2 linked regions of the Drosophila melanogaster genome follow. The protein of the gene in region 1 purifies or fractionates together with the protein of each later gene. This does not show direct contact. Each region holds a gene or a part of one and is shown on either strand. Other genes may lie near its edges.

The links.
Region 2: the proteins of stwl (region 1) and Wee1 purify together in Drosophila melanogaster (affinity purification with western blotting; one study listed by BioGRID). This does not show direct contact.

Annotation. Positions count from the first base shown.
Region 1 is NT_037436.4:14,402,790-14,412,343, reverse strand, and holds stwl (stonewall), read left to right. Parts: upstream 1-2,404; 5' UTR 2,405-2,581; coding exon 2,582-2,729; intron 2,730-3,497; exon of another isoform or gene 3,498-3,564; coding exon of another isoform or gene 3,565-3,598; intron 3,599-5,506; coding exon 5,507-8,472; 3' UTR 8,473-9,414; downstream 9,415-9,554. Other genes in the region: CG3919 (uncharacterized protein), read right to left, coding at 1-88, 160-309, 534-844, 1,072-1,249.
Region 2 is NT_033779.5:6,909,612-6,916,496, reverse strand, and holds Wee1 (Wee1 kinase), read left to right. Parts: upstream 1-2,358; 5' UTR 2,359-2,569; coding exon 2,570-3,071; intron 3,072-3,215; coding exon 3,216-3,552; intron 3,553-3,608; coding exon 3,609-4,313; intron 4,314-4,414; coding exon 4,415-4,548; intron 4,549-4,644; coding exon 4,645-4,796; 3' UTR 4,797-5,407; downstream 5,408-6,885. Other genes in the region: CG32829 (uncharacterized protein), read left to right, coding at 110-814; x16 splicing factor, read left to right, coding at 1,097-1,454; Rat1 5'-3' exoribonuclease, read right to left, coding at 5,605-6,885. UniProt on the Drosophila melanogaster protein: Acts as a negative regulator of entry into mitosis (G2 to M transition). This kinase specifically phosphorylates and inactivates cyclin B1-complexed CDC2.

The sequences.
Region 1 (9,554 bases):
TCATGTGCTTGATTTCGGGACGCAGTCCCTGCAGGAATGCGTCATCGAAATCCATGATTGGCAATGCTTCAATACAGCGGGTTGATGTCTGAAATAAGAAAATAACAAATCATAAATAAACGCTGTACAAATTAAATTTTGCACTTAATAGATTGTTACTTTGGGGAATTCAAGCAATGGCACTCTATATAAAGTAATTTCTCCCACCTTGGCCTCCTTCTCACTGCTGTCGCTCTCTGTGCGCATTTCTGCCGGGACCGTGTCCTCGAAATCCATGATTGATGATGGTTCATTATTAAATTGTGTTGCCTGAAGAATTAAAGGAAACTGCATCATTAAAATTATAAATGCAAATTTCAGCTTTGAAATAAAAACGGGCACACAGTATAAAACTAAGCTAATTTGCACAGCTTTAACTTTTGACCAAAAATATAGCATACATCATTTTTTTACTTTAAAGTATAGTTCATAACGCTAAACAAGGTTGTAATAATTTAAGGCCTCAGCAAAATGCATCTGAGTATTGCTCCCACCTCAACGTCCGTCGCCGATGCAGGGTCGGTGCTGTGACGGCTCTGCGCATGCTCCGAATTCAGAAAGCTCGGGGAGTGCACCATCTCGAGGATTGCCTCTACGGGAGTTTCGGGATCCCCTTCGTCGTGCTCCTCCTGTCCCTTGGGTCTTGACCTACGACCTCTGAGCGGAACGGGCACTCCGGGAGTGATGTGCTTTTGCAGGAACTTCAGCTCGCTGTTAAGATAGTACGTATTCGCACCGTGATGCAACTTTATTGAGCGGGCATAGCTGGAGCGAATGTTGCGCCAACGTTCCTTGCAGCTTTTAACTGAAATGATCAATAGCAGTCAATAAGATTGTAAGATAATATTATATAATATTTATATAATATAAATTGTAAGATTTTATAAGAGATTATATTTTATTTTATATTATGTATCGACATAGTAAAATCGTGCTTATAAAAATATAAACATCTCCTAATGAAATGTAAATTTAATAATTAAAGTAAATTTAGTTAATATGCAATATGTCGAAATATAGATAAAAACCCACCCGAATTTCGCATCTCATTGGATATTTCCTTCCACGCATTTTTCACAGTCGATTTCCGCAAGTAGTTGTCATCGTGACGATCGTAAAGACAAGGATGTAGTTTCACCAAATGACATATTTTGGCATTGATGGCGTAAACGTTCGGTGGTGGAGCTATGGACCGACGGCGTGTATTCATTTCATATATAAAAACTAAATATGCAAATTTAATTAATTAATATAATTAATAGAGTTAAAGTAGAAGACCCGAAATCGAATCTGAAACATGTGTCGCCTGACCGTGCAACAGCTGTTTGCCGCTACTTTGCTTCTCTGCTCCGCTTTCAACAACAGTTATTTTCTCTGAAACCAGATCTTTCGTTTAAACTTACGTGAATTAGGTTTAAAAATGCTCCAATTAATCGATGTCAGTGCTTTTATCACGAGTTTTGGCTTATTAAGTTCGGGCTCAAGCCGCTCGTTGCTTCCGTGCACGCGGCAGTTGTTGGCGTGGACGCCGGAGTTGCTGCTATTACAAGTGTTTAGCAACTTTGAACACTGCGATTTCGTGCTGCTGCCAACAAGTGATGCAGTTGTAAATGAATGTTGCAATTTCAAATAGCAATTGTTCTTGATTTTAAAGCACATGAGCACTAGACTGATTCGAATTGGACATTTGAATCTTTAACGGGCGGAGAATATAAAACACCGGCAAAATAAATAAAGAAAGGAGCCACAACAAACGGAAAGCCAGAGGCGTAGTCATTCTCTTCGCAAATCAGCGGGGGTTACCATTCGAGCAGCATACAACCCTCTCTGAGAGAGAATTGACATGCCACTGGATCTCACACATACAATGAAAGGCACACTCACTCAAAGTAGACAGCACTGCCAGACTTAATGCAATAGTATAGCAGTTGGTGTTGGCAGTGCCATTTGATCGCTGGAGGTGCTGCCAACGCATTTACCAATTAATTAATGACCACCCCTAAATGTTGTAAATTATAAAAATTATTCAAGAATATTACGATTTTGGTTAAATTAATGTACAAAATAAAATATTTCATATTTGTATTGGCTGTCAAATGAAGTTATTTTATTTTAAGATAAATGCTAACAAATCTTAGAGAAACTGGAAAACAAGGTTGAGCGGTTTTGAGAATTATGAACAACGCGTAAAAAACATTATTTATAAACGTAAAAAAATATTATAGTCTAGCCCGACAGGTAAAAAATAAATTTATCCGGGGCCACCTTGGTCAACCCTCGTCAACGACCGTTCGGCCTGCCAACTCGCTTTTCCCTGCAACGCAAGGCGCCGCTCTCTGCTCACACTCTCACTTGGCTGTGTGTGTGTGCTCAATACTCGCTTTTAGTTTTCGCTGCAGTCGGTCGCCGTTTTTAGTCTCAGCTGCTGCGCGCGTGTGTTGTGATTGTGTGAATTGCGTTTGCGTTTGTAGCATAACACAAAACCGATAAATTCCTGGCGAAGCGAGCTCTCTCGATTGGATTCTTGCAAAGTGAACTAGCGATGAGCGCCGCCTCTGAGGTGAACCTGATGTTGCTGCGGTCAGTGGAGAAGCAGACTGCGCTTTATGATCGTACCGACGAAAACTATAGGAAGCGCCTGCCGAGTGAGAACGCCTGGGACATGGTTGCCTCCGAAGTTGGAGAGTCGGGTGAGTCGTGAGTGCGAGCGGGATAGCAATCGACGTTGCGTAGTTTTCTGCCAGTGCTGCACAGCGTCAACGCGCGCACAACAGTCAGTCGTCCCCGAATTATCGGCCGTCGATAGTTGTGTGCGAGTTGGCAGCGCCATGTATGCCATCACAAAGCAGCTGGCATCGATTAATTCGAATATAACGAGTCTCCTGTTGAATGCGTAGTCGTTTGGGATGAAATTGCTTCTTGCTGTGACATAATTTTTGTAAATAGCTGGAAAGTAATTTATATTAGTTATTTGGCAACTGCAATAATTGCATGGTAAAAACTAAACAAAGTTATTTCGTTTGTTGTTATTATTATTTTTTTAATTTAACATTTTATAATTTATAATTCTCCAACAAGCTTGTTATTTCATATTAAAAAAATGTCTTATTTGAATATTACATTATTTTAGAAGGATTTAAAAATAAATAAATTAAATACAGAAAAACCAAAATATGACAAATAATAATATCTAGTCTATTCAGTAGCCAAATCCATTTCATTTAATTCTTATTAGCTTTATAAATTTTTTTTAAATGATTTGAATCCTTCTGCACGTTTTGGTAACACTGGTAACACTAATCGCCCATTAGCTGAGTAAAATTTAACCTTAGAAAATTGGTATATTGTATTATATTGGTATATTATGAGTGGGTAGTTCCATTTATCCATGCATCTCTGATTTTGTTGTCGGTGTATATCGATTGACCCATATATATTTCCCTGGAAAGATCTTTTGGCCAAACTTTTCGAGCAGTACAATATAAGTTGGCTCTTTTTCATTTGAGAACTGAAAAAATATTGCCAATGATGGGGGACTTCTTATTCGAGAATTCTTGCTGTAAGTTTTATTTATATATCGCAAAAGAAAGAAAAATCCTTTTTAGTGTACATATGTACATACACACGTGCATGTACATATTTAAGTATGATTCTCAATTTGATTGCGATTATTTCCACGTGGTTTCTGACACCTTTTACTAAACTTTACACGATTCCTTAACACAACTATTTTTTAAGTAATGTGTTTGGATATCAGATAAAGGGTGTTTCAGCAATGTCTACAGGTTTTGTTAACTAACAAATTAAAACGTATCTTAGAAGTTTGGGCGTCGGAAACCTGCACGCCTTATAAATATGTATGATATGTACATCCATGTACGTTCCCATGTATGTATGTCGGAAATCTGCATATATATATATTTATATAAATATATATGGTCATGTATGGTCATGCAGATAAATGGACGCTTCTAATTTGTATACCCCTTACTCGTAGATTTAAAGGGTATACGTTGGAAGGGATTCGTTGCAAAGTATGTATGCAACTGGTATGAAGGTCGATCTCAGGAACTATAGAAACAAAAAGGTTCAAATTAAACATATAGATTAAAGGGACTTAGACGCAGCGAAAGTTTGTTTTTTCATAATTTTTAATTAGTTTTGTAAATTTATATTGACTTTTTGAACAGTTTTTTTAAAATTTTCTCATTTGACTCCCCAATATCTATCTATATGCCATATCTATATGCATTATAAAGCTTCCCACTTCCATTATTCATTCTCTTATTATTTGTTTTTGTGGTGATTTATTGCACTGTAAATTAATTTTTTGCAAAAATGCTTTGTCTTAAAAATATAAAGTAATTTCCTACAATTTTTCTTGTATATGTTATAGCTGATATTATTTTATCACTTTAAAAAATTGTTATGTTTGGCTAGAAAAAAGCTTATTTTTTATGACCCGATTTTTATTTGAACTATCCTTATGCAAGGACAAGAATTGAAATGGCACCGAACACAAAATTTCATGTGTCAGTTTTGTCAGATTTTGGCCGCGGTAATTGAAAATAACCTTCCGCAGCGTAGTTAGTTACATACTGTTACAAACCATATTAATCGGCGAGTATAAAGGCAGATAACTAAGAAGCAGTTTTGGCACGTAGAAGCTAAGAATTTCTTGTCTATTACTCCAAATCAATTTTGCCACTTCCTCCAATGGAAAGAGCCATACGAATTTGATCAATTAAAAAATAATATGGAAATATCTAATACCGAAGACCATATTTAGACCATTAAGACCATTAATTAGCTAATCATTTTCCGACTGTTGGTATTGAAAATATAGTTTTTCGATTTTAATAAATGTAATCCAAAATTTATATATATTTCCAAGATCTAGTGTATTCTTATTAAAAACAAGTAATGTGCCATCCGGGTTGTAGGACCCGTGATTCAGGGTTCGCGGTGCGTACTGGATGCCCCGATTTTGTGACTAGCAGTTACACACTGCAGTGCTTTTATTTTTATTTTTAAAAATTTACATACATGTATAGCTTAATTATTAAATACTGCTACCTTCAGGCAGCTAAAAAATTATATATAAACTGCAGTGCATGTACTCGCCACCGAATACTCATTTATACTCATTTAGATATTCATACATAGCATACTTTCAAGCGAAACTTGCATTTACGGAACCATGTACAATGTTGGTTTTTTGAAATTAAAAATAATTTAACTAGTGTCTCTTCCCATTATTAATAAGCATTCCTGAGCTCTTATTACCTGTTCATGTAAAATGCACACAAAGTTTTATGAGCTAAGATTAAAGTGGAATTTTCCGGGCAATCAGGGGGTGTTATGCTATTGAGAAGTAAAGGTTGGGCCGCTACCTGTTGCCTGATATATATTACGTATCATATCTTCTTACCTAGCCTTATCATTTCCCTCTTGTTCCCTCTTGCAGTGGAAAAATGCAAGCGACGCTGGCGTCAGCTGCGAAATGACTATACCCGCTGGTGCAACGCCGACGCCAACCGGCGACGAAATGGCCAGCGTCGTTTGGCTTATCCGCTGGCCGATGAGCTGCGCTTTTTGGACCGCCATCTAAACATAGCTGACGACATGGCTGCCGACGATGACCGCAGCGTATCATCGGACAAGGACAGGGATAACAATAGAGACAGCGAGGGCGTGGATCATCATGCTCAGGCGTCATTAAAAGAACGCGCATCATCGACAAGCAAGTTAGTTAAGGAGGTCAAGCTGGCAAGTCAAGTTCGTAAGGAAAAATCGTCCCAAGACAAGAGAGAAAATTGGGAAAATCCTGGAGATAAACAGCGATCTAGGAAGAAAAGTGCTGAAGAGAAGCTGAATGATTTGGAGGAATCGGACGAACCAGAGAAGGTTCCTGAACTCGATAGTTTTCTGCAGTCTGATAATGAAGACGACGAGTGCATGGACGAGGAGCACCTAGAAGATCTGGAAGGTTTCGATTTTGACTTGGAACAATCGAATCAGGAAAAGGAGTTAACGCCGGAGAAGTCTCTAGAGAAGAATAACACCGACTCAACTGTTAGCCAGCCGGAGTTCTTTGTCAAGCAAACCAGAGATCCTCGTTTGCTAATTATTGGCAGAAAGAATTCGACGTCTTCGTTTGCTGAATCCAAGGCTTCAAAATCTATTTCCGGGGATCCTCTGGAAACGGCTATGGAAGATAGTGGCGATGAATATGGTAGGGATGGTGAAAAACGCGTCACAGGCAGCGACACTACTTCTCCAACCCGACGTCCACGTCGCGCAGCCCGTGCATCAATAAGTTTCGCTGGCATAAGGGATTTACCGATCCAGAAACCAGGCCAAGCACAACGAATGACGCGATTGCAGCGCAGGAAATCTATGAGTTTAGCGGCTGTACACAGTGTAAGGAGCTCCACATCGCCTGTGAAAATGACTCCAGTCCCCAGGTCTCAGCCGATCAACAAGCCGCCATCCGGGCCAGTCCAGATCACGAAAATCAGTCATCGGGATGACATCTTCCCGAGACCTGCGGTGCCATCTGGAGTTGTGAATATAAATCAAAACCAACTCAAGACTCAACAACAGCAGAAGACGCTGATCTTTCCGACGACCGATGAAGCGATCGCTAACCCGCAGGGATCTGGTCCACCACAAAGGAGGTCCGTGGGTAGGCCGCCCAAGAAGCTACCTATGGTGCAGCGAATAGTTGCGCCGGAAACGCAGACCAAGCCACAGTCGCCCATAAACACCAAAGTCCTGACCATTGGCAAGCCCACCAGCTCCGTCGCGAGTGGTAACATAAATAATATTGCTATCAAAAGCAACGTCGTTACTAGCATAAGCAGCAGCACCGCTACTACTAATACCATTACCAAAGGTACCAGTAACAACAGCATCAAAACTACTGAAAACGTTAATGTAATAAGCTACAGTCCGAATTCATCTAGCACCAGCAGCAGCAGCAAGGCCACCACTGGTGCCTCTGGTGCGGTGATAACTAATATACCCACAACCACCACAGCTGGAACATCCGTTCCGGTCGGAAAGAGTATAACCCAATTGAAAATGACTGAGCGAGGCACTCAAACCGGAGTCCAGAATCCTTTCTCCGATAATTACTTTCTCGAAATGATCAAGCCCCAGATGCAGGAAATGAACCCCCGTCAGAAGATGCACTTTAAGAAGAAAGTATTCCAAGCGCTGATGGAAACCTTTGATGATGCTACCGATTTCCCAACGTCTAAAGAACTGCAGCATTTTAATATAAACACTCCTTCAGGATTTGAGCACATTACAGATCCGGAACTTCGATTGGTCAGGGAGCTAGTCAGCATGGTGAGCGCGGCTAAGGTTACCCTAATTAGACCGCCAGGAGAAGCTACAGCTATAGCTACAGCTTCCCGCAGTGGAATTGCTCCTGAGGTACAGCGAGGACCCCGAACAAATATGACACGCCAAGTCATTCAGAGGGTATACAAGCCAGGCACTGGACAAGAGATCGCCCCCACCAGCCCGGCGGGTGGACTAGATAAGAGGTTGTTCAGGTTAGCGGCTATGGGTGGTAAACCGAATGGCAACTTGAGTGCCACTCAGGAAATTTTGCGCAAGGATAGTGTTGACAGTAACCATAGTGTGGTCAAGGTGGCCAACCACGCCCCAACAGGCAGTCCCAAAGGAGCTGCTGTAGTGGCTGCTATAAGGCCGCAGGGTTCATTGATCAACAGTTTCTTTGGACAAGGCAATGGACCGACGACGGCCAAGGGAGCTGCCTCCGAGAATATCCGCGCCATGTCCAGGAGGTATTCCGTGTGCGGTAGCAGCAATCCACCCAATGCCCAAAACGCTAGCCAAGGTTCCGCCAATGGCAGCACCATAAACTCCAATGCTAGCGCTATGGAAGCGTCTATGCTTAAGCGGCGATTGATAGCAGCTGGGCATGGAATGGTGCCACCTACCCAACGCCCTCGGTATTCTGCCGTAGGTGCTAGTCAAATGACCACTGCATCGCAAGGCAGCAGTTTACTAGTGAGGAAGTCTGTGGGCTGCGTTCCTGCTTACCAAAAGCAAATCTCACCCACTGGCGGTGCCTCCCTGCTTCAGAAAACTCCGCAGATTGCCAGTGTGCAAGGATCTGCCTTCAATGACTTTGCCCAGCCCAAGCCCGCTGCAACGGCCTCTGTAAACGGCGAAGAAAGTTCGCCTACCTCGGCGCTGAAGCGCAGCTTGGTGGTGGCTAATACCAAAACCTCCTTTCAGGACCTTCTTCAGCAGGCCAGTCAGACGGTGCAGAGAAATAAAATTGAATCCTCGGAGACAGCAGCCACTATTGCTGCGGATGATTTTTCGCTGGACAACCTTAAGCGAGAGCCAGTGGATCCCGCGGAGGATCACAATGACATACTCGGTGTTTAAGACCAGGCCAAAGAAATTTCCGAGTATTGATTAAAGAGTAAAGAATTAAGACAGATTCATTAAATCGTAAATAACACGTTGAAAAATTGTTAAGCTATCTAATGCACTTATAATGTTGCGTTAAACATTTTTTATAGTTCCCTATAATTTTAAGAATTTCGAATTTTTTTTTTTTGGAAAAAGTTTTTAACTTTTTCTATTTTGTTCATAATTTTTTAGACGATAGAAAACCGACAGTTTTGTTCAAAATTTGCACAAGAAAAATGATTAATGAGAAATCGAATCTTAACTTTATTTCACATTTTCTAGTTATATATATCGAATAAAAATTGCCCTTATAAGTTAAACAAAAAGGACAACTGAAAAAATATTTAAATATGTTTTTATGGAAATATATTTCTATACATAGTTAGGTCAAAGTCACTAGAATATTATTCTAATGTCTTTGGTTAGGTAGTGAAATATATTGCAGTACATTTATGCGAAACAACCATCACGAAAATTTGAAAATTAGTTTGGTTGGTGAACCAAACTGGAGGGTGGGTGCTCCAGACGTTGTTCTAGCAGAGACATAAGTAAAATTATGAAAATTAATTAATTCTAATAATTATGACAATATCTTTGGTTCGGGTACCGATTCTGGAGTATTTCCAAAGCTTCAGAGTATTTAGATACTGATCAATAATATTAAATTGTTTTTATCAATACATCAGTGAGTCGGTGGAATTAACAGTTCCAAAGCACACAAACTGATGCAATTACCACTATCAGGATATATACGTGGACCTAACTACGAAGTAACACATCATCGATAACAGAAGATTAGATATGAAAACGCTGACGCAGCTAAGAAAAGCCTAAACATAACAATTCAGTAATAACATAAAACCTTCTTGTATTTATAAATAGAATAAAAAAATAAATTTGCAAATTTGATCAAACGTAATTCCAACGTTATTGAAATACTTCCCGTTTTGGGTGAACCACCGGTAAAGATTTACAAGGTACCAGTACCATTCAATATGCTGTTCTTTTTGCACATTTGGCTGGGAATCTAATCTGGAGAGGTCTACCGCGAATGG
Region 2 (6,885 bases), on another chromosome or scaffold:
TGCTTGCATCATGATGCCAGGCCCAGTCATTTTGACCATTTTGTGGTCAACGGCGTGGTATATAAATGCGATTGCAACTGGTGCCATTTGAACGAGAAAACTATGCGAGATGCATGGTCATTTTAAGTTGCTGCTGGTCCTGGGACTCCTGCTGACTTACGCGGCAGCCAAGAAGAAGGAGGCCTCATCATCCGAGGAGGAGGAGGGTGGCGACAAGTACGAGAAGAAGAAGTTCGGTGACGAGGAGCACAAGGGTGAGCACGGACACAAGGAGCACAAGGAATGGGAAGAGGACGAGAAGAAGCACCACGAGGTGGAAGACCACGAGCACCACCACGGCGACAAGGGATCGAAGAAGAAGAAACACTACGATGAGAAGGATGAGCATGGTGAGAAGCATGAACACGGCGCTCACAAGAAGGGCGGCAAACATCATCACAAAAAGAAGCACAAGAAGGGTCACAAGGAATTAGAATACCACAAGAAGTTCAAAAAGGACGAGTACATCAAGGAGAAGAAGTTCTACGATGATGAGCACAAGGGCGGACATCATAAGAAGTATGGAAAGGAGCACCATCATCATGCCGAGGAGCACGGCGAGCACAAGAAGGGCGAAAAGCACGAGGGCGGCAAAAAGAAGGGTCACAAGAAGCACCACGGACACTACAAGAAGGGTCACCACGACGAGGACCACAAGAAGTACAAGAAGGAGCACAAGTACGGCGACAGCTTCGAGGAGAAGAAGGAGCACGGCGAGAAGGGCTCCAAGAAGCACGGCCACAAGCACTACAAAAAGAAGGGCGGCAAGCATTGAGCAAGCTATATTATACATGTGATCTTTATGTGAAATGCAGAATTAAAACTGGGAGAGGTTCTAGAATATTATACTGTCTTGTGTTTTATTCAATAAGCTGTTAAAACTTAATCTGCTAAAAGCTAGTTTTGATACTTACAATGTTTCAAATAATATAGCACACTATAATATATTTAAATGTATTAGTATATTAGTATATACATATATAAGGTAGCTTAAATTGTTACGTTTTTTGAAAAGCCTGATAGCTAATCACGACGATTTATCCCATTTCATTTCCAGAAGCAACTCATTCAGCAGATCTCGGAGCACATCGCGACGCAGGCGCACTCGCTCCAAGTCCGGAACTCGATCCCGCAGTCGCTCCGCCGGCTCGGTGGGCCGTCGCTCCGGCCGCTCGAACGGACGGGACGAGAACGGATCGGCGTCGAGGTACAGCGACCACGAGCGCAACGGCAGTGGAGCGGTAGATTCACCGCCGCCGCCAAAACGGCGCTATGAGGATGAGGACGATGACCGGGTTAGGGGATCGCCGCGGTCGCGTTCCCGATCTCGATCGGCGTCGCCAGCGGTGCGCCGTGGATCGCCGCCCAGGCGTCGTGGTGACTCGTCCGCCTCACGATCCGTTTCAAGGGACTAGCGACAGCGAACGGATGCAGACGGAGCCCGACATGCGATGATGAGGGCCGGAGCTGCAACCCCCCGATGAATCCGGCGAGATGGGCTCTCCACGCACTGGACTCTAATCCTCATTCCCAAAAGAAACAACCTCACGTGTAACAAGACAGATTCCCAAATACTTTTTCATGCAGTATCCATCTAAGGTTTTTAGTTGTCCAAAACCATATTAGTTAAGGGTTTTAATTTATAGTGGAACTCGAGTTTGCATATTTAGGTATTCTAATGTTCCAACACAACAACAAATACAAGCACACGCAGAACAAAGGAGAGCGCTTCGGAAAATCATTTGACGGAAGGAAATTTAAGATATAGAAATGTATCGGCAGCCGCAGATTAACGATCTAGTCAGGATTGCTATGTAAATTGATTTGCCTTGGATTTTATTTTGCTTACCCTGGAATTATACTCGAATGTGCAGAGGACGAAGCATCGCCACCATTTTCATGTCAATTTTACACAATTTTCAATTTATGCAACACAACAACTTGATTATTTGACTCCAATCTCTGTATGATGTGTTTCTATATTCGTAATAATTAAGTATTGCAACAGTGCATAATAATTATTCATACATTGATGTCATAGTTAAGTATTAAAAAAATACATATGTATGGATTCTTGAGATGTGTGTTTGAATTATGTAGCAAATGCGCTGAACACTAAAATACAGATATTCAATCAATAAATTAAATGCCAAAATTAGTTGTTTTCCATTTGAATTTGGCGGGCTTTATGCGGTCTTGAACAAGTCTGGTCACTCAGTTTAGAAGTAGGTGCGCATTATTTAAATTGGTATTTTTGCCAGATGTTTAGTATTTTGTTTGTTTGGTAACTCTGCACTTCCAGTTACTTAGTATTTTTTCAGTCAGAGCTGGTATTTTATTGCGCATCGGGTACGGCCACATTATTAGACTAGCATTCCTCCAGTTAAATTTTGTTTTGTGTTTTGTTTTGCATTTTTTTTAACTATTGCCTTTACTTTACTGCCGCCGGCTTCCATACAAATAGTTCTGAAATCAGAAATAACGAACAGAATCGTCTTTCAACGTGGTCAGCTGGACAGCTACAGCAACAATGGCATTCCGCCAGTCGGAGCACGAGATGAGCGTCACCTCACTCGATTCAAGCGTCGAACTGAGATCGCGTTCGCCATCGCCGCAGGTCTTCAATCCGCGCAAGCTCCGCTTCGCCGATGATGACTTTGACAAGGACACGCCCGAGGGAGCGAGTCCGCAGCATCCCCTTCAGCAGCGGCCGAAGCTATCCTCCGGTGAGGAGCAGCAGCTGGACAGTAAGATAGGCAAAGAAGGCGGCGACGGGGACGTGTCCATGTCGCCGCCATGCCAAAAGGTGCGGGCCCTGCGACTCTTTAGCACACCGGCCACTCCAAAGACCATCCTGCAGAAGTCGACGACGCAGTGCAGCAACCATCTGTCGGCGGCAGCAGCGGCAGTGAATGCCTCCAGGCGCAGCGACGACCTCTTCCGCCTGTCAGAGCGCCCGCGATCTCTGCCACTGCACAACCGCAAACTGCCCACCCAGGACACGGCAAATGTGAACCCCTTCACGCCAGATAGTAAGTTTAAAACGTTTCTCGCTTTTGATATTTTAATTAAATAAAGGTATCAATTTCCAGTTCGTTGCTTTAATTTGCACTCCACTTTAACCCATCCCAGCTTAGTCTTATTAGCAATCTAATAATCATTTTTTTTATTTTTAGGCCTCATGGCTCACAATAAGAAGCGCTGTCGCACGCAATTCGGACGCGAAAACCTCAACCTGAACGTGAATGCTATGCAAAAGTATTTGCTCAGTGATGCCTGCGACGACGATGTGACGGAGGAGGCGGGCGACTCGATGCGCGAAATCCACCAGCAGGCACCCAAGCGGCTGGCCCTGCACGACACGAACATCAGTCGCTTCAAGCGGGAGTTCATGCAAGTCAACGTAATCGGCGTTGGCGAGTTCGGTGTGGTGTTCCAATGCGTCAATCGACTAGATGGCTGCATATATGCGATTAAAAAGAGTAAGAAGCCGGTGGCAGGCAGTTCTTTCGAGTGAGTATTCATTAGTTATTGCAACGAGCGTCGTTTAACAATCTATTTGCTTGCAGAAAGAGAGCCCTGAACGAGGTCTGGGCCCATGCTGTATTGGGCAAGCACGATAACGTGGTTAGATACTATTCCGCGTGGGCGGAGGACGATCATATGCTGATACAGAATGAATTCTGCGATGGTGGCAGCTTGCACGCGCGCATCCAAGATCATTGTTTGGGTGAGGCAGAGCTAAAGATTGTTCTCATGCATGTGATAGAGGGCCTACGCTATATTCATTCAAATGACCTGGTGCACATGGATCTGAAGCCCGAAAACATATTCTCCACCATGAATCCCAATGCACACAAGCTGGTGGAGGTGCAGCCGCAGCAGACCAAAGATGACGATGGCATGGACAGCGTCTATGAAGAACTGCGCCATTCAGAGAATCTGGTTACGTACAAGATCGGCGACCTGGGACACGTGACCTCCGTTAAGGAACCCTACGTCGAGGAGGGAGACTGTCGTTACCTGCCCAAGGAGATCCTTCACGAGGATTATTCGAATCTCTTCAAGGCCGACATATTTTCCCTGGGCATCACGCTGTTCGAGGCGGCCGGCGGTGGTCCGCTGCCTAAAAATGGACCCGAATGGCACAACTTGCGAGATGGCAAGGTGCCGATTCTGCCGAGCCTGAGCAGGGATTTTAACGAGCTCATAGCCCAGATGATGCATCCTTATCCCGACAAGAGGCCCACTTCGCAGTCTATATTCAGTCATCCGTAAGTAAATTGAGTCGACAGTATAAGCGACAATCATATTTAGTTGCATTTAAGATAAATGTGCTCACACTAAATACATATAATGTTCGTTTAATTTGCAGAATTCTGAGTGCTGTTGACTCCAAGAGCAAGCTGCAGCTCGGCCTGGAGCTGACCGTGGAGAAGCGCAAGAACGAGATACTGATGAACAAGCTGAGAGAGGCCAAAAAACAGATTAAACTGCTCGAGCAACGAGGTAAGATAAGATAAATAGTTGTATAACAACTTAAACTTTAAGGTGGTTGGTTATCTGGATGTTTACAATTTCTAACGTTTCTGCAACTCATTTTAGTCAATCTTCTTGCGGTGACTAACAATCCGGACAGTCTGGATGGACAGCGTTGCCTTCGCAGCTTCACGCGACGCATGCGCACGCCATTCTCCAGCCATGGCAAGTTCGACAGCATATCCGATCGCAACAAGAACGTTATCACCAATATCTGATAAGCTCGCAACAGATGCCGAACCGATAGCTAAACTCTTCCGAATCGAACGTGAACTAAGCTCACATTGTGTTACCTTTTAAGCGTATTCATATAATCGATACATATTTCTAACTATTCGCTTTCGTTTAAGCTCATGGATTTTGAAGCATTCGTAAATATAATCTATATATTTTTCAAGCTCAGTGAACTTTTCCCTGTTAAGAAAGCACAATCGTTTTAAGAAAAGCCCCTTGTAAACTTTAAGATTCTCGCATAGTTGTAATGAGTATTGTTTTCGAAATTAAAATATTTATTATGTTACATGGAAATCGAAATAATAACATTCCATTCGTTAAATATAGCGAATGCTATTCCATAAAAACTACTGGATTTATTATGACTCCGGATTTAAAACAAAATGTTTGCGAAGTTTTTCTTAAATTCAATTGTTTACTCCACTAGAAATTGTTTTGATATTATCCAATTTCCTGTCAAATTATGTTCCATTTTCCTTATCTGAAAATAACAATCGTCTCATTTTTTTGTATTATCCAGCTAGTTTGCTTTTTTTACGCAATCAATGGAAAGAGAAATGATCATTATTGTAATTTGACTTATTTTCTTTGAGGCACTAAGACTAGATGTTGGCTGTAAGCTGCTTTGATAGAAATGCAATGGGTATTTCATTTAAAGAACAAACTCAGAACTTGGCATGAGTTTGTTTGGAAATCCTTAATCAGTATATTTTCTTCATTAAAAAATAATGTAAATTAATATGGATTACACTTTTGTTATGCGCTACATATTATATTGTTTGTATGATACACCTAAAACCGTCTATAATTCTGATTCTGTTGCCTGCTGCCGCCTTGTTGCTGGTAGTTGTTGTTCCTTGGACCATTATAGTTGTTAAAGTTGCGCTGCTGCTGATTCGAATTGTCCTGGTTGAATCTCTGATTGTGGCCATATTGCTGCTGCTGTCGGTTATTGTAGTTGTTTTGATAGCCGCCACCCTGGTGCTGATTGTAGTTATTGTTGTAGTTGTAGTTATAGTTTCGGCTATTGTTCTGATAGCTCTGTCCTTGGTTTCCGCCTATTCCCTGGCCGTAGCCGCCTCCTTGCCCGTAGCCTCCTCCTCCACCTCCATTGCCACCGCCACCCTGTTGGTTCCTTATGCCAGCGTTCAGCATGCGGTGACCACTATCCGGAACGTAGGCCCTGGTCAAGTGGCTATTAAAACCGATGACGGGACGATGCTTGTTACCAGACTGCTCATTTGGCAGCACCTGTGGCGGATCTACGGCGTTTTCGAGGCGCTTCGCTTCGAAAATGTAGTCTTCATCGTATTCCGGATCCCTGAACGTGGTCGTCACGGTTATATTGTCATTAATGTCCGATAGCCCGGAAATCGGCGACTTAAGAACGCCGCTGATGGCAGTGTTTAGTTCGGTTTTTCCCAAAGTGCCGCGCATACCGTCAAATGAGATGGCTTTGCAAACGCTCTCATCATCCTTTTCGCTGATTTTCTTCACCTTTTTGTAGTGCGGACTCTGATTGCTGATGTACAGGTAATTGTCTCCACGCTTGTTTCGCTTCACCTCCTCTCCAGTAAGTTGATCATAGTAGGGAACCAAAGCCTTGAAGAGACGCTTCTCATCGACGAACGGCAGCAGAGCCACTCCCTGCCAGGCGAACTTCTTGCCATTCAGATCGATCTTAAAGTCCTCCGGATAGAAGTCAATGATCGGTGACTCCGGATCGGACATGAGCTTGGCCCACGGCTCGGGCACGTGTGAACTACTGGCTGCCGGAAAGACGCCCATCAGTTGCTCGAGCGGATTAAACGGCTTTGTGCCCTTTTCGAACATCGTGGACAGTCCCTGGATGTTGACAAAATCCGATGCGAAGGGTGCATAATGGTATGGGAAGTACCAGTTCCAGGAGGCACAGCCCTGATAGTAGTACTTAAGAACCCAGCACAATCCTCGGACATACTGCAGGGCTACAGCGTATCGGAACTGCTGGTTACCCGGTGCCACGTCAAACTTGGATTCGTAGTAGCGGTCCTTGAAGCCATCCTCCCACAATCGCACCTCGTCGTTATTCTC